4 linked regions of the Rattus norvegicus genome follow. The protein of the gene in region 2 interacts with the protein of the main gene of each other region in a biochemical or structural test. Links are inferred from orthologs where the notes say so. Each region holds a gene or a part of one and is shown on either strand. Other genes may lie near its edges.

Region 1 (4,233 bases), on a different chromosome or scaffold from region 2:
ATCATGACCCTCAGAACCTGAGGGTCAAGGGTGCTACAGCTGCTGCAGGACTGCTGAAAGACTCAGGAGGCTGAACATACCTACCCCACAGAACTCAGCGAGTCACTGATGGCAGTGACTGGGAGGATGCAGAATGCAGGCCCTGGTGCTGGCAGACTTCAGGTGACATAGCTGAACTACAAAACTAACTCCACATAAGCTGCTACTTCTCCTGTGTAGCAGCTTACATCTCAGGGCTTACAGGCAGGCCACCCTGCCCAGCACCATGCAAGCCAAATCCTTCCCTGACACTAGTAGAATGAAAGCTAGTGTAAAGGTGTTACCGTGCAGAAAAGACCTCAGGACAGGTCTGCTTCACATACCATGCCAGGGAGCCACAGGGCTAGTAGGTCACACGGACAGGGCCCTACCCAAGGGTGTCCTCAGCAGTACCCAGGACTGAGGATGAATGCTCACAGAAGTTTCTTGCCAGAGGGCACTCACCAATGAAGTTCAAAAGGCAGGTAGGAAACAGTGAGCTGTTGGAAGGCTGGAGCCAGGGATCTGATCCCACTTGGAACCCTGAAGGGGATACCAGACCTCTCTGAGCATGAGGATCATCTGGAGAAAGGCGAAGCACTCGGCTGAAACTTGTCAAAGACCCACAGATGACAGAAAAGAGATCAGAGGCCACTGCAAGAGCAGCATATCACGAAGGTCCCACCAAGAATCTACAGGCCCCAGTCCACATTATGTACAACTAACATGGCACAGTGCCCTCAGACATCTGTGGAAGCCAGGCTGACACACACAGCAGGGCCATGCCTGACCAAGCTCCAGAGCAGAGAAAGGGCAGCCTCAAACCACAGTTGCCACCCTAAATAGTAACAAGACAAGGAAACACATACAGTTCCAGGGAACAATATTACCCCACACACCCACAATGCTATCCCTGAACTTGGCACATCCCACAGCTGTCACCCCATGTTGCAGATGAAACAGAGAGATCACACATGAGCCCAGGCCCATAACCATGCCCTGCCATCATTCTTCCAGAGATCATGCTACCCCAGGACTCAAAGATGTTGGCCCCACTCTAGGGCAGTAGCCCCGATGTCCTACATGCTGCCCACACTGGGGTAAGCATCCTGTGCATTCTTTTTTATAATAGGCATGTGCTCTCGGATTCTGGAAGTGACAAAGCAGAACACAGTAAGGTAACACACTACCTGGGGAATAAAACCACTAGGTATCATCTTGCTGACACCCTGTCTCACGGGTTCACCTTCCTGAATACTGGACAACTAAATTCTTTCCCTTTTCTTTCCTAGAAGGCAAATTTGTCCTAACCAATTGAAAGCTCATCAAGACAAGGGGCATGGCTCTGGACCAGGAAAGGTTTGACAGGCAAGGCCAGGATGAAGGCTGTCCTGCTTATTTCTGGAAGGCAATGGCTGGGCCTATCCTCCCCAACCCATGGGAAATTCTGGCTTATAACCCTGCTGGTTTGAGTGCAGAGTCTCTTCCCACAAACACACACACATATGTGTGGGTGTGTATATATATAATGTGTGTGTGTGTGTGTTTGTGTGTGTGTGTGTGTGTGTGTGTGTAGGTGCAGTGTGGGGGAGGAGTACCCACCACCAGTCCAGGATAGAGGCAGGCCTGGAGGGCCTTACCCCGCCACACCCTGAAACAGACTGACAGGATCTGCAAAATGGCCTTGTCTGATAAGAGGTGCAGTAGGCCATCACAGGGCGCCTCCCTTTTCCCCTCCTGCCCACAGTTCCTTATTTCCTGCTGGCAGCACACGCTGCAAGGATTCTTCCTCTGCATCTTTCAGGTTAAGAGGAAGAAGGCAGTACCCTTGTGAGGGCAGAGCTCGGGTCAAGCCCTGTCATCATTAAGGTGGAAGCGCCAGGGATAGACACCATGGGGCGCTTGGACAGTGGGCCAAAGCTCCTCCGGAGCTCTGAAACCTCTGGGCTGCCCCGCCCGAAGGTGGGGTCGTCTTCACTGCGCGTGCGCCAGGCTGCGCGGCCAGGGAACGCTGCCAAGGAAGGACTGCCCTCCACAGGCAGGACCCCTGTGGCTTAAGGACTTTCATAAATGAATAAAAAACTTAAGTGGTCCAAATCCAGGGGCCAAGCTGAGCATCACTAAGTCGTCTAGAGGGGTGATAGGCATGTAGGCCACCCACGTCCCCTCAGTGCCACCTCTAGAGACTACCCGCTCCCGGATTTGCCAACCCGAGGCCCATGCGGAATCCGCAGGCTCCTCACTCCGGGAACACCTAGGTCCGGCCTGGGTATCCACGAGAAGGATTCTCGCGGGGCCGCGGGCCAGGAGGATAGGCCCCGCTCGGTCACAGCCTGGGTCGTAACACCACAGACCCCTTTGTCACCTGCGCAAGTCGCGAGCGGGCAGCGGAAAATAGGGACGCGCACACGCACGCGCACGCCTGTACAGCAGTTCGCGCATGCGCACCTCCCGTTAGCCGCACGGGTCCCCAGCGCGCGCGCCGAGCGCGCACGCGCACTCGTACACAAAGCCAGCGCTGCGCGCGCCCGGCCGCCCCGCCCCCGCCCCCCGCCCGCAGCCGGAAATGTGCGCGCGCGGCCTTACCCAGCGGCAGGCCCTTGTTGAGCAAGTGCGAGCTGCCCATTGAAAGGCGCGGGTGGCCGCGGGCCCCGATGAGTCCGGCGCTCTCCGCCGCCGCGAGCCCTGCGCCTGGGGCGGCTTCGGCGCAGTCTGCTATTCCGCCCGGCCGCCTGCGACCGGCCACCGCCGTGCCGAGCCGCCACCGCGCCGCCAGCCGCGCTCCGACCGACGAGCGGGCGGGGACACGCGGCGCGCGCGCGCGGGCGTGGCCTCGGTTGGTCTGCTGTTTGCCGGCAAGGCGGCGCGCTGGACGTACGCGGGCGGCTCAGGGGCCCAGCTGCCCGCCGGCCCGGCGCTCGGCCCCCACCCCCCGCGCCCCTCCCAGGCTGGATTCCCTTCCTGGACACGCCCCCAGCTGTACCCGCCCCCGGCCTCCCCTCCCCTGCGCGTACCCGGGACTGTGCCCCTGCCACTCCTTGGCTCGGTGACCTGGGCTGGAGCCCGAGTGGTGAAGCAGCCCATCCGCGTGGGGCGCTACCGGGCTAGTCGCCGCGGACTCAAGAGGACAGCGAGAGGGTGCACTCGGCCCCTTGTGCGCTGGAGCTGGGGCCGCGGACCCAGAACGCAGGACCCAGGAGCTGGACAGCGCCCCGCCAGGGAAAGTGATCTGTGCACAGGGTCACATACCCTCCGGGCACGCAGAGTAAGAGCCTAGCTGTTGGTGGAACTGTCAGGCGAGCGTAGCGAGTGATACCGCTTAGCTGTTTAAAAAATATGTGTATATTTAAATCACGAAAACAACCCAAACTGAAGGATGCTGAAAGCCATCTTGTTACCTACGTGTTTTGAAAACCAAATCTTTAAGAAAGGTAGGCAGATTCAGTGCGGGATGACAAGGGTCTGGGCATCTGTTTACAGAACAAATGCTTTGAAAATACCTTTCCAATTCGATCCATTGGCAGACATGAATGGAGAAAAGGATCTAACAGGTGGAGTCTCAAGCCTGCTACAATACCGAGGAAATAGATTGAGGGTTAGGGGGAAGCCAGCAGGTGTACCCCACCTTAATCCCCACCCCTATCCCGGACTGTCTCTCCTCTGCTCCGTTTTCTCGAGCTGCAGGTAATTCCCTACGAATTATCCAAAGGGCTCCTCCCAGTTCTTCCATCCAACATAGCAACTCCACGGCAGCGTGGCACCTCCCGTTCCTTCTCAGCCTGCCCAAACTCTCATTTTTCCTGCACAGTGCGACTAGGACCACCACATCACTCCATCCCTGTGAGGGATTATATTCTGGCTTGTTTAAAAACCCTTAGGGACGGAAGCACTGAACGGAAACCCAGGCTTCTTGGCACCACCACACTGACTTGGACTCCTACTCCAAGGATGGTCCCTGCAGGCAGGAGTCTGCTCCTAAGGATATGAGGTGGAAAACCACTAGGTAGAGATGTGGAAACGGACAGGTGGTTCTGAACATGCCCATCCTAAGAGACCCTCTGACCTTAGGCTTGCCCAAAGGCACCTGTAACCACCTGCTTCTAAGAGAGGATCTGGTGTCTGTTGGGCCGCATTCACCCTCACTCCACTCTGCTCAGCACTGCTTGAGGCCTGACCCCTGAGCCATCATCCCGGTGCCAGTAAGAAAGTGTGATG
Region 2 (4,006 bases):
GGAGGCCATCTTTCAGGCTAGACGGTTAGAGGAGGAGCGTTACTTCCTCCTCGGACAATGTGATAAGCAGAAGGGTAGAGGCTGCCGCCCTCAGGCCTCCTGTTTAACAGACTGCTTTGCCACTCACAAACCTCCAGTAGGACAGGTTATCACTGTTTCACTGACTGTATTCCCAAACACCTTATCCCAGCTTCCAAGACGGTCTACCGTCTCTCTAACCTTCTCAGTGTTTAAAATGTTGGTAATGGCAACATCCCTCTCTCTATACTTTTGTCATCGCTTTTGTCGCCCTCCCCCCCCCAAAAAAAAACCTCAAAAGGCACCGAGAACACTTATTTTGTCACATTTCTTGAATCTCTCGTATCACAGGAAATCTTTTTGCACTCAGGGCCACCTTGGAGCACAAGCTAAAAGAAGCTGTCTTTAAATTTTTTTTCTTTTGAATTAGTATCTTTCGGAGACTGGCCCACTTGAGTTGATATGTCATAATTTTCGGTTCTGAAAGTGTCGTGGATAATTTAAATTGGCACTTGCTATGCATTACTTAAATAAGTGTTCTCCTGGATGGCCTCTGAAAAGCCTGAATTCCTTAATCTTGTTTTGACTATACAGTAACCACGAGGGACACGTCAATGTAAGCAAACTCCAAGAGCAATAAACTAACAAACAGACTCTAGGTGGTGGTATAGGTTATTTTTTTAATCACAACGTTTTGCTCTTAAAACTGGAGGAGTCAGAGGAGCCCTGGCCTCATCCACAAACATTTCTCCATTGCTAACCCACAATTATTTTCAGGTATCTCAATTACAAAAATCCAAGTTCTGCAAAGTTTGGAAACTCAGATTTCTAAGTCTTCTCGTAGGCATGAAAGCTGGTTTTCAACTACCTGTATATAAGCAGCAACCGAAGCCCTCCTTAGAGTTTTGAAGTATACTTTTTAAGGATATTTTCTTCTCGCTCCTTGTACTTTAAGTGTGGAGTCTTCCCAGTACAGTATAGAACAGGCTGGGGTGAGGCTCCAGTTTGCAGGTATTGCCTGCGGCATGACTGACTCTCCTTTGTCTCTACTAAGTCCTACACAGAAAGTTCCTGTTGGATCAATTAAACCCTATGGACAAACTGCTGGGCCAAACCAGGGCAACTCACTTGGAAGGGGAAGATTTCAACATTTTCCCAGGCTGCAGCCACTCTTAGGGGCCATGCATGTGAAGCACCCACCGTTTGCTTAAAAAGTCGACTCCGTCTCTTAGACAAAGGTGGCAACCTGATGATTAAACACTGGATAATTGCATCTGGAAGATGCCGCCCACTTGCTAAACCCATGATTCACTAATAAGCGGGTTCAATGTAATTCATAACTCTAAAGAATGAATTACCGAAGTCCCTGCTTTACAAAACCCAAGAGATAGACTACACATCGTTTAAGCATACACACAGACAGACAGACACACAGACACTCCAATCTTGTTTTACTTTTAGACTGTCTCTCTTTCTCTAAAAACACTGTTTTCGCTCAGTGTCACAATCAGTTACAAGAGCAGACAAACTCCAGCCTGGTGCCATCAAAAAAAAAAGAGTTAAAAGTTCTTGCACCTAACAATGTCCGGACTTCCCTCTAACTAAAATGATCCATTAATTTAAAAAAGTAAAGTATTTTAACGTAAAATTACCTAACGTTTCATACTTCGTTTGCGACCGCCAGAATCCAATTAAATTTCTGACATGATGGAAGGTAGAAACTCGTGGAATGCCTCAGAGATCAACATGTGTCAGACTCACTGCCTGTCCGCCTTTTAAACACAGTGGATTCCTTTGTTCCTTCCGTCTGAATATCAACTCCTGATTAAAATTTGGAAACTACTTTGGGAAGGATGGGAGGGTCTAGGGGAATGTTTCCGCGGAAGAGGGTTTCTTCTAGCAACAATAGTAGTAAGGAGGACAGTGGCACCAGAGAGAAGAGCAGTCTCTCAGGACTTCACCAGGCTCACCCGAGTGAACCCCTCTCGGATGCTGGGGGAACTGGGCTGAGGCCTCGGGTGCAAGGGGCCTCGCCCTCCTCGGCAGGCGGGGAGCTCGTGCCCAGCAGGCCGGGCCTGGGGCTCAGCGCTGTCCCTTCTCCGAGTCACTTTTCCCGGCCGGGAATCGGCGAGCACCGCGCAAGGGAGAAACCGGCGATAGGCGGGGAGCTGCGCGGGCGCCACCGCGAGCACCGCTGGGCGGCAGGACCGAGCGGGGCTGCAGCCAGCGCCCGGGGCTCGGGGCCAACGGGGGCAGCCGGGCGGGCGGGCGAGCTCGACCCGGGCCCCGCGATCCGGCCACCCGCGTGGGTCCCGGCGCATTACACCCAGGGCGGCTGCGCCCCTCGCGCCAAGGCTGGCACGGACGAGCCCGCGGCTGGGAACTCCACAACTTGGCGGCTGCGCCGGCCGGGCCCGCGAGTTCCCGGGGAGAGCCGGAGAGGGGCGCGGCGGCGCGCTGTCCCCGGGATCCGTGTCCCTGGAGCCCCCCGCGGGCCTCCCCCGGCCTCCGCCGCCTCCACGGGCCGCGCACCCAGGCCGTGCCCGGGCGGCTCGGCGTCCGCTCAGCGAGCTCCGCACGGAGCCCGGGCCGCGATCGCCACTCACCGAGGCCGCCGCGGCTCCGGGCCGCCGATCCGCGTCGCTCCCTCCTTCCCAGGTTAGCCGTGCCCTGCGGCCGCGCGAGGCCACGGGCGCTGCGCACCGGCGGGCTGGGGCCGGCTCGTCCTCCGCCTGCGCCGCGGTCGCCGTCGCCTCCCGAGTTCGGGGCTCTGCTGCAATGTCTGCGAGGCTGACTTTGAGCGCCTCGCTCGCCGCCCGCCCGCCGCAGCCGCGCTCCTCCCTCCGCCGCCGACTTCGCGGCGGCCGGGTCCCTCCCCTCGCTGCTCCACGCCATTCAGCTCTTCAGCCAAGTTTCTTAACCCTTTTCTGCCCCTCCCTCCCATTGTCACCCGGGCGGAGCGCGCACCCGGCGGCTTGCCGGAGCCCGGGAGCCCACCCGGCGTCTGCAGGCCTTCTCGCCGGTGCTCCGGGTGGGGGTCCGGGTCTGAGCGGCCTTGAAGGCAGAGGGAGGACGCGGTTGAACCGGAGAAGGGGGGTGCTTTGCTCCCCGAGCCGGCGCCCTGGCTTCCCAGCCGCGTCCAGCCAGCCGCCTGGACAGATTCCCCGCTAGGGGCCAGGCGATAGCCCATGTCACCCTTGCGGGGGCAAACGCTGGGGGCACCAAAGGGGAGTCGGGGCGCCTTAACCCTACCCCAGGTTCCCCACCTAAGGGCTGGCACCTTAAATGTCTCCCTTTCTCCCGTTTCAACCCACAAATACGCGTTCTCTTGGAGCCCTTTACCCACCCTCAATTTTCCACCTCCTTGAAATCTGTGTCCCGCTTAAATTCCGGAAGCCACGGCGCTATAACTCTAGGTCATTTTGACCCCATCCTCAGCACCTAGTAGGACCCAGTAATAAATATGGCATGATTGCAAGCGGAAAACTGGGAAGGAGACCTGAGGAGTGCACAGCTCAGCTCCCTAGACGGACGCAGGACCCAGGAACCTGGTTTATCTTCTGCTGCTTTGTCACTGCGAAGTCTCCAGTAGGGTCTGCCCGCCAATCTGCACCACCCCCAGGAAGGATCTGACCCAACAGGACTAGAAGATGGGCTGGCACTTCTTTAAGCAGCTCTGCTGGGTTCAGAGTCTCAATAAATAACAATTACATCACGGAGCCAGGGTGGCAGTGCAGCGAAACCTGGGTTTCCTGCAGCCTGGTCTTGCTGAACCCGCCTCTGAATTTGAGGGGGGCTAACAGATTGGTGAGGCTAGAAAGTGGAGGGAGGAGAGAAAAAGACGAAACCGTGATCTCTTCCTCTCCTTGTGTTTTCTGCTTTAAAATCCTATTCTCTCTACTCCCTTCATATGTTACTTGTGAAGCCTCCTTTTAACGCTCCCCCTACCCCAGATGTCACGTTTGTTTTTGACTCTAGCATCTTGCCA
Region 3 (4,162 bases), on a different chromosome or scaffold from region 2:
CCAACTTCATCTGCGTCTCCACCATGTCCAGCATCACCGCCCTGACTCCCAAAATGCACTGCTCTGCCTCTATTCTTTGGTGGTTAACAGCCAACTTCCCTCCTTTACTATCTCTGCCTTCTTCTCCCTCATCCCTATTGCTGTGCCATCGGACTTGCACCTGCACGGCTTCAGACTTCATCAACTTCCCAGCGACTCTCTCTTCATCCACTTTGCTCCCGAGTAACAGAATTGCCACCTCTTCCCACAGTGACTTTCCCGAGATAGCAGGAATAGTATCTTCCAAATTCAGGCTTTAAAAGTGTCCCATCGCCTACAGAATGAGACCCAACTTCTTTATTAAGGCTTGATGATTGGTTTCTTGGTTTTCTGAGTATCCATTACATTTTTTTTTCCTACCACCAGATCTACCGGACTACCAACAAAGGCTCAGCTCTCTGGTCATAGTCTTAGTACCTATCCTCCCATTTCTCAGCACCCCTATGCTTCTTTCCTACACATCTTCCTGAAGTCTGATGAAGAAAAAGATATTTTATTACCTTCTGTAGATACAGTAAATGTGGGAGGGAAAGGTATTATAAAACTCCTGGCCTTCAAGGCTCAACTCTGTAGGGCTTCTGTAGCTTTCCCCTTAGAGTGCTCTTCAGTCACAGTATTTATCAACCAGCTCAATGTAAAATCTTTGTCAAAACTTAGATGACTCAACTCTAGGAGGAGCTAAGCTCTTTGCCTAATAAATCTTGATGTCTGGGTACAAGGAATTTGCCCAGACATAATGTGGCCTCACACTCCCTTCCAGGCTGGAAAACAGGTACTAGTTGAACACCACCCCGCCTCCAGAACCTCTGGCTGGAAGAAATGTAGGGAGACACTACGTCCTGCGTCATCACGTGCTGCGAGGAGGGTGGGGCCCTCCTGGGAACCGTGAGGGGCGGGGCTGAGCAGGTGGGGCGGGGCTGGAGCCCGGGGCGGAGCTGCGCGGGGTCGCGACAGCGGAGGAGCGGGCTCGCGGCGGGCGGCAGCGCGTGTGTGCGGTCCCCTCGACGCTCGGTGCCCCACGCGTGTCCCGGAGAGGTTCAGCCCGGAGCGACCCGGAGGACGGACTGGTAGACTCTGGGGTGGCAGCCTTGCTGGGCTTTGAGCAGCGCGGGCTTATCGCCTGAGCAGGGAAGCCCTTGAGCACTACGGCTCCTCCTGACCCTCGGGACCGGGCGCGGCTGGCTTGCGGGTTTCTCCTCCGCGGCTAGCCCGGGCAGCCCCGCGTCCCCTCTGTCGCCCGCACCTGCGCGTCGCGGTCGGTCCCGCCCTCGGTGGCGGCGGCTCACCTGGGCGCAGCGCGGGCAGGGCGCCGCCTCCGGGACGCAGGTGGAGCGGGCAGGGCGCGGGCACCATGAGCAGCGGCGCCAACATCACCTATGCCAGCCGCAAGCGGCGCAAGCCGGTGCAGAAAACGTGAGTGACGGCGGGCAGGCGCGCTCTGCGGGTGCGGGAGGTCCCCACGCGTGCAGCCATCCGGGAGCAGGGGCTCAACCAATGCATTAAAAAATTCGTCCCTGCTTTCGGGCGCCTGCACCTTCGCAGCTCAGCGACCTTCCCTGGCCCTGATTCGTTGACAGCTCTGACCTACCTAGTGCCTCTCTGGCTTAGTTAGTTAAGCCTGCCTGGAAATCCTCCACTCTAGATCTCCACCGTGGTGAGCTTTAGGGGACAGCTCACTGAGGTGAGAAGTTGGCCAGAGCTAAACACGTGCCGTCTTGAAGGAGGGGTCCTGGCCTCTGAGGGAATTTCTTTCTGTTCTTAGCGTCTAGCTTTCTGTTTTGCTCTTTCCTTTACCTCTAGGCAGCGATTTTGCCGGGCTCAGAATAGGCGCAGAGTTGGTAGCAGGTTGGAGTGTGCCTTGGACAGGTGCTCGGGCGGCTTGGTGGCATTCATAGCCACTCTTTAGTGACACTTTCTTCCTCCTTTTGGAGTGCTTGTAGGGTATATAAAATTTTTTAAAAATTAAGGAGAGGAAAAAGAACTGGACTGACTTCTAAGTTATTTCTACTGTCTACCTGTAATTCATCTCCCCTTGCTTATAAAGTTTTGCCGATTCTAACAGTGATTACAGACTTTGGTCTTTGTTTCCATGGGCTATTTCTGTGAGATGGGAGATATTCATAAACATTTTTTTTCACAGAAAAGAGATCCGAGCATGAGACAGGGTTCCATTTAGGAGTTGGGTGTATTGATGCATTCATTCATAATTATCTTGGAGTTTCCACAACTCACCATTTCTTATTTTTTTAAATAAATTATTTTAGGAACACTTTCAGGTAATCAGTAGTGTGCATTTTGCTTGAAACCTGACAGCCATCACCAAGTGAACCAGAAAAATAAGATCTTAAGATTTATACACTGTTTACAACTAGTTACTAACTTAGAACTTGGGTTATTTGTGGATTTTAATTCCGTTAAGAATTTCAACTGTCATAGTTCTTCAAATCTTGACTTAAAAATTAATTTTAAGAGGAGATGCTTGTGTATAAATAGTCTGATCAGAATTTGGAAATTTTATGGTACACTTTAAAGGACGCAAATATCGTTGACTCAGCAGTTTTCCACCTCGGCAGTTCTTTGGACCCCGGCTTTCAGCGCCTTGTTATTTTGTAAAATGGTTTCTTTTTATTAAACCATGTTTGCTCAATTTGACTTTGTTCCTGATGGTTAAAGTTTCAGAGGCTTTTAAGTGCTTGTTCCCTGTTTTTGTTAATAGTAATACTAACTTAGCCTGAGATGAAAAAAACTCAGATGTTATGTACAAGGGCGTAAAGTCTGAAGCTCCCCGTGAGTTTTTTAAATAACTGATTTTCTCTGTGTTTCTTAAGGATGTAAACTGCTTTTCATACAAAGGTAACCATCTCAGAGGTTGCTCTTTATAACGTTGGATATCTTTAGTTTCCAGTCAATATAAAGAGCTTCCTTTTTAACACTGCAACACTTCCCCTTAGATTAAGATACCTTTAACTGTATTGCCACTATTTGTGTTTGATAATTTCTCACAACTGAACTGTTGTCCCCACTAACTTATATTTTATTTTACATGGTTCTTGACTTCTGTACTGAGCCCCTTTAATCAACTCTAACCCTTCATAGGCCTTAAAGGTCACCACTTGCTTTGTCGAAGACTTTTAGTGCTAGCACTTAGATCCTCTAGTGAAAGTACTTACATTTTTCCCTCCGAGTAGAAAATAGTGAACTTTATAATGCACATAATCAAAGTTCATCCTTAACAATTAGATCATTGAGCTTTAATATGTCTTTAAGTTAAACTACTTCTATGCAGTGAGGCCCCCAAATACCTCAATTTTAGGAAAAACACAAAGATGTGTTGACCGTGCTTTCTAATTAACTCGAACCCTTCAAGGGAGAGCTGTTTTATAAGGAGCATGTGCACTGTAATTCTACAGTGTTAAATAATGTCATATTTAGACAGTTCCATGAAAATTTGGAGTAAAGTAGGTGACATGATTTCAACTTGAAGCTTGTTCATTCTTCAAATGAGGATCTAGATACAAAATAAGCTCCCTCTGGTGGCTGGTCTCACCATGACAGTTATCGGGAGCAGGAAGTGAGTTTGAAATGTGTTCAATTTCATCCCCGTACAGTGTTTCATATGCACTGCCCTGTGAACAACTGTTTCCTTCTTCAGTGCAGTGAAAGTTAGGAGATTAAGAGATCCAAAGCAGTCTTGCACCCAGTCCATATCCTCATCTTCAAGGGCAGCATTTCAAAGACCAACCCGGGGACAGAATCTTCTTCGATGTTTCTTAGCTAGTGGTCCCACACTTCGTGTCTGCTTTCAGTTAAATTCCGTTCTTGCTTATTCCCTTCGGAGAGGAAAATGCTGTGTGGGATCGTTTAGCTGTTCTGTGTCATGAAGATGGCGGAATGAGGCTCAAACGATGGAATGATCTACTCCAGTGATTAAAACTTTAAATGCGTCTTTGAAGCTTTACTAAGACAGAAAAGGTCCTACTGCTGTTGTAGTTTAGGATCATCAGCAAATAATAGATGGTCAATAAATACACCCTGCAGTTGTGATGGCATTCAAGCCAGCCAGGGCAAGGTGCCAGCTTTCAAAGGTCCCATGATCTGCTGCTAAGGTACACACGGATAGCAA
Region 4 (4,245 bases), on a different chromosome or scaffold from region 2:
AGACACGCGGGCAGAGAGCTCCAAGGCGTGGCCCCGTGGAGGGACAGGGGCCGACCCTGAGAAGCAGAGAACCCTGGAGCCGGGCCGCTGGGTCCGCAGACAAAGCCACGCAGCGACGGCACCCACCGGCGAGCCGAGACGTCGGGCCGAGAGCGGGCGTGGAGGGCGCAGCGGGGTCGAGGGCGCGGGGCGGAGACCTCCGGCGGAGACGGGGTACAGAGAAGGGGATACAGGCTCCGGTAGACCTCAGACGGGGAGTCCAGATCCCGAGAGCCGTGGCCGGGAATGTGAGGGCCGGTACGACGGCGGCGCCCACACAGGCCGCTCCCGCGAGCAGCACCCCGCGTTCGGCCCGCACCGAGCCCCGCACCTTTTGGCCGCGCCGCCGCCCGCGATGAAGCCGCACCCGGGCTCAGCGCCGCCCGCCCGCCCGCCCGCCCGCAATGACGGCCACTCGGGCCGGGGGCGGGGAGACCGTCCCGCTCTGCCCCCGCCTCCCCGCGCCCGCCGCCTGCGGGGCTGCTCGAGGCGCACCTGGGACCCGGGCCCCTCCGCCGCACTGCGCGCTTCGCGAACCCGCCGCGCGGGGCCGGGGTGGCCGCTCTATATGCGCGCGTGCGGTATCCGGGGGCGGAGGCGCGGTCCTTGTCCTCCCCACAACCCGGCCTGTGTCCTACCCTCTCTACAGCCCCTCTCGGCCTTCACCCTCACCTCCTGGCCCTCCAGTCCCAGCTCGATCCTCCGAAGCCCGCGAGTTCTAAGAGAATTGGGGACCCTGAGCACCCCAGAATACGGTCAGGTGCCGTGCGCGGGGAAGCTTCGGGCCTCCGCCTGCGCAGGGAGGAGGCGAGCTCCGGTTTGCTAGTCCAGTTTAGGGGTGCCAAGGCCTGAACGCTGGTCGTTTTGCCGTGTGAAATTGGTTAAGGGCATGAGTGGGGTGGTGGGCAAGGCACAAGCAAGGAAGAAACTAGACTTTTGAGTTAGCACTGCCACATTTGCCTACTCAGGCTGCCGAAGCCAGCTCTTCCAGAGGGTGGCTGAAAATGGATGCGGTGGAGTGGACAGCAAGAGTTCGGGGCGAACCCCATTTCCAGGAGTCTCCCTCAGGGTGCTCGTGTGGAAATGGGAAGCATGGTTATCCCACTCTGCGACATCCCAAGGTCTGGTAAGCAGCCTGAGCTCCATGGGCTCAGAGACCCAAAAGCTAAGCTGTGGAGCTGTACCCACGCGCCCCTGTGAGCTATCCTCTAGCTTGGGCATAGGGGGAGGGGGAGAGAACGGGAGCCTCTGGAATACTGGTCCTGCGGGTGAGGTGGCAAAGCAGTTGTTCTGGGCTGCAAACGTCCACCAGACCACACAGCTTTTCAAGTTAAGTAACTGTGGTTGAGAGATCTTTGAAGAGGCCTACTCAACCCAGCCCAGTCCCCTTAGCCACCAGGGGGTGGAAGGCAGTTCGGGAGGCTGGAAATGGATTCCAGAAAGCCTCAGTGGGGAAGTACAGCAGTTATGCCTTGGCCGAGAACCACCCATCCAAAACTCGGTATGGATCCCACCCCGTAGCTCGGGTTTCTGTGAGTGCCGGACTAGGGTGCTTGCATAAAGCTGAAGACCCAGCACAGCGAGCCTCTCAAGACATTCATGGAGGGAAGCACCACAGAATCTGACGGACTTGGCTGTCCTAGCTCAGGCAAGTCACTGCCTTCCTGTCCTACAGAGCTGTGTTGAGTGAAATTGCGTGGGTGAATCGTAGAAGGACAGAGCCAGAGCCAGAGGCGTGTCAGGCCCTCTCCCCACACTGAGCACTTACACCTCAGGGATAGGGGCTATATAGGCTTTTGCACAAATCCCCTTCAGATAGGAACCCTCAGAAAGTGAAACTGGGGAGGGAATGGGGTTCAATGGCAGACCACGCCCAGTGTGAGGCTCTGCCATTTCATTTCTAGTCGCAAAAACACAAACAAAACCAAAACAAAAGTCCCCAGATGAACCTAGGCACAGAGGCCAGTAGGCAGCGGGGACGAAGAAATGGGGGCTGGGCTCCTGACTGGCATCTCTAGAGTAGCCCACCAGGGGCATCTGGGATGATGTGGGCTCTGGGCTAAATCCCTGGTGGGATGGGGGATGGGCACCAAGCTGCTCTCTCTCTTTCTGCCTGTATCTCAGCCCTTTCTTCCAGGGTTCCACTGAATGCCCCCTCTCCCTGTATACCCTTACAGTGACTCACACCCTTTCATCCATCTACCCAGGGAAGCAAAGTAAGACTCTGACCCTGACTGACAGTAGAAACACAGACATACACACATGGAGGCTCAGATACCTACACAGAGGCAAGCCAGACACTCAGGCAGCAAGACTCCAAATCCAGAAGACCCTCAGGACAGACACGGAACACCATACTCTCAGGAACCCCCGGCCACCTCTAAGACACCACCAACCACCCTCAAACCCTAGGGTCTGTCGCCATAGGCCTAACTCCTCTGTAGCACACCATAGGAAGAGATGAGGGGTGTTGTAATGGGGAAATGGACCTGGGGAGACCCCTGGCCTTTTCCCTGCCCAGAGTGGTAGGAACTGGTCATTCTGTAGAGCAGGCAATGGCCAGTCTAGGCCGGAGCAAGGCACTGAGGAGGGAGGCTGGCCAGTAGAGGCCTGGGCCCCGGCCTTCACTTACTGAACGGAAGGAGAATTCTCAGCCGGATAAGGGTGGACACTGGGCACCAGGGTCCTGGTGGGGAGGTTCCCAGGCCCCAGGTAGGGCAGTGGCTATCGGGCTGTCAGGAACTTCTTCCCCCAGCAGCGGGCAGGCAGCGGCGGACTGCAAACTGGCCCTGTCCGATCGTCCTCTCCTCCTCCCCTCATGGGTGGGGGGGGCCACCGGAGGCCCAATTGGTCTCTGCCCCCACGTGACTCTGCAGGCCTTTCTCCTCCTTTATTGGTGTTTCTCTTCATTTGGGTCTATATCTTTTTTCACTCTTCTAAAAGAAAAAAAATATTCCTATCTTTATGGGGGCCCTGGGTGGGGGCAGAGGCCAAGGCACTGGGGAGGCCTGGGCCAGCTGGTTGTGCAGGCTGCTGCTGTGGGAGCCTGAGGCAGGGACCCCATGTAGGCAGATAGGCAGCGGCTTGTTAGTGACTGGGTGGGAGTGGGACCTGATTTATGGGCTGCTCCCTCACCAGGCTGGGAGTTTCTCCCCTTGAATGGCTTCCTCCCTGGGTTCTGGCCTGGGCTGCGTGGTCCAGCTTGTCCCAGACCTGAGTGAGGAGTCAGAATGGCTAGTGTCTCCATCAGGTGGGGTTCTTGGGCCCTTTTTGGTGGCTTCTCTGAATATTACTGTGCATTGGGAGCTGTAGAGATGGTCTCCATTTCCTTGGGGAAACCGAGGCTGTGCCAACACTGCTGGGCTAAGGGTGTGGCTACAGGGACTTCAGGTAGGACTATGTGGGTAGACCCAGGTAGGGAAGGAGTTTTTGTTTGTTTGTTTGTTTGTTTTTGTTTTTTATTTTCCTAGAAGGCCAGGCATCCCTGCTTAGCCAGTTCCTGAACTGGCCTAGACGGATTGGATCCTGATCGCTGAGCCCTTCATGGCCCTCCATCCCACACCTCTGGAGTAACCCATCTGTTCATTCCGTCTACATCTCCTATAGACTGTGAACTCTGTGAGCCAAGCACAGTTCTAGGCACTAGGGGACACCATGCTGAGGACCTGGGAGCCTCTGTCATGAGAGACTTTGCAACCATTTGTTCTGAGGCACAGTTCAGGGGCCTGAGGCCACCAAGTAGGGACCCTGTTGAGAACTCCCACTTCACTTGGAAAGACAGGCAAGTCAAGCAAAGCTTCTCATTTATGTAGCTCTGAATGATAGAGCCTTTTCTGGATAAGTGAGCCAATTTAGATTTGAGTTCAGAGTGTCTTCTCCTCATGTTACCACTTAGGTTTCTGTTGTTTAGGTTTGAGACAGTGTCTCATTATGTAGCTTAGGCTGGTCTCTAACTTTCCAGCTACTCCCTTGTGAGGGCTGGGATCATAAGCAAGAGCCACTGTGGCCTGCTTCAAATTAAAAAAAAAAATACTGAGTTCCTATTAACGATACTCTGCTATGCTTGCAGACAGGCACCTAGCATAACCATCCCTTAAGAGGTTCCACCCAGCATCTGGCTGAAAATGACACAGAGACCTACAGTCAAACATTGGAGGGAGCCCAGGAAGTCTTGTAGTGGGGGAAGGATTGAGGGCCCTGAAGTGG

Evidence for each region. The genes of interacting proteins can lie anywhere in the genome.
Region 1: the proteins of Nrip1 (region 2) and Ctbp1 form a complex in vitro, tested with the Homo sapiens proteins (2 studies listed by BioGRID and IntAct). The link is inferred for Rattus norvegicus from reciprocal best matches to the Homo sapiens genes NRIP1 and CTBP1.
Region 3: the proteins of Nrip1 (region 2) and Ahr form a complex in vitro, tested with the Homo sapiens proteins (2 studies listed by BioGRID). The link is inferred for Rattus norvegicus from reciprocal best matches to the Homo sapiens genes NRIP1 and AHR.
Region 4: the proteins of Nrip1 (region 2) and Nr5a1 form a complex in vitro, tested with the Homo sapiens proteins (2 studies listed by BioGRID). The link is inferred for Rattus norvegicus from reciprocal best matches to the Homo sapiens genes NRIP1 and NR5A1.

The regions. Positions count from the first base shown.
Region 1 is NC_086032.1:81,678,663-81,682,895, reverse strand, and holds the start of Ctbp1 (C-terminal-binding protein 1), read right to left. Parts: upstream 2,801-4,233; 5' UTR 2,645-2,800; coding exon of another isoform or gene 2,605-2,644; intron 2,494-2,604; exon of another isoform or gene 2,384-2,493; intron 596-2,383; exon of another isoform or gene 484-595; intron 1-483. UniProt on the Homo sapiens protein: Corepressor targeting diverse transcription regulators such as GLIS2 or BCL6. Has dehydrogenase activity. Involved in controlling the equilibrium between tubular and stacked structures in the Golgi complex.
Region 2 is NC_086029.1:28,463,611-28,467,616, forward strand, and holds the start of Nrip1 (nuclear receptor-interacting protein 1), read right to left. Parts: upstream 2,803-4,006; 5' UTR 2,625-2,802; intron 1-2,624. UniProt on the Homo sapiens protein: Modulates transcriptional activation by steroid receptors such as NR3C1, NR3C2 and ESR1. Also modulates transcriptional repression by nuclear hormone receptors.
Region 3 is NC_086024.1:57,996,102-58,000,263, reverse strand, and holds the start of Ahr (aryl hydrocarbon receptor), read left to right. Parts: upstream 1-1,362; 5' UTR 1,363-1,390; coding exon 1,391-1,452; intron 1,453-4,162. UniProt on the Homo sapiens protein: Ligand-activated transcription factor that enables cells to adapt to changing conditions by sensing compounds from the environment, diet, microbiome and cellular metabolism, and which plays important roles in development, immunity and cancer.
Region 4 is NC_086021.1:42,893,247-42,897,491, forward strand, and holds the start of Nr5a1 (steroidogenic factor 1), read right to left. Parts: upstream 2,801-4,245; 5' UTR 2,672-2,800; intron 419-2,671; exon of another isoform or gene 127-418; intron 1-126. UniProt on the Homo sapiens protein: Transcriptional activator. Essential for sexual differentiation and formation of the primary steroidogenic tissues. Binds to the Ad4 site found in the promoter region of steroidogenic P450 genes such as CYP11A, CYP11B and CYP21B.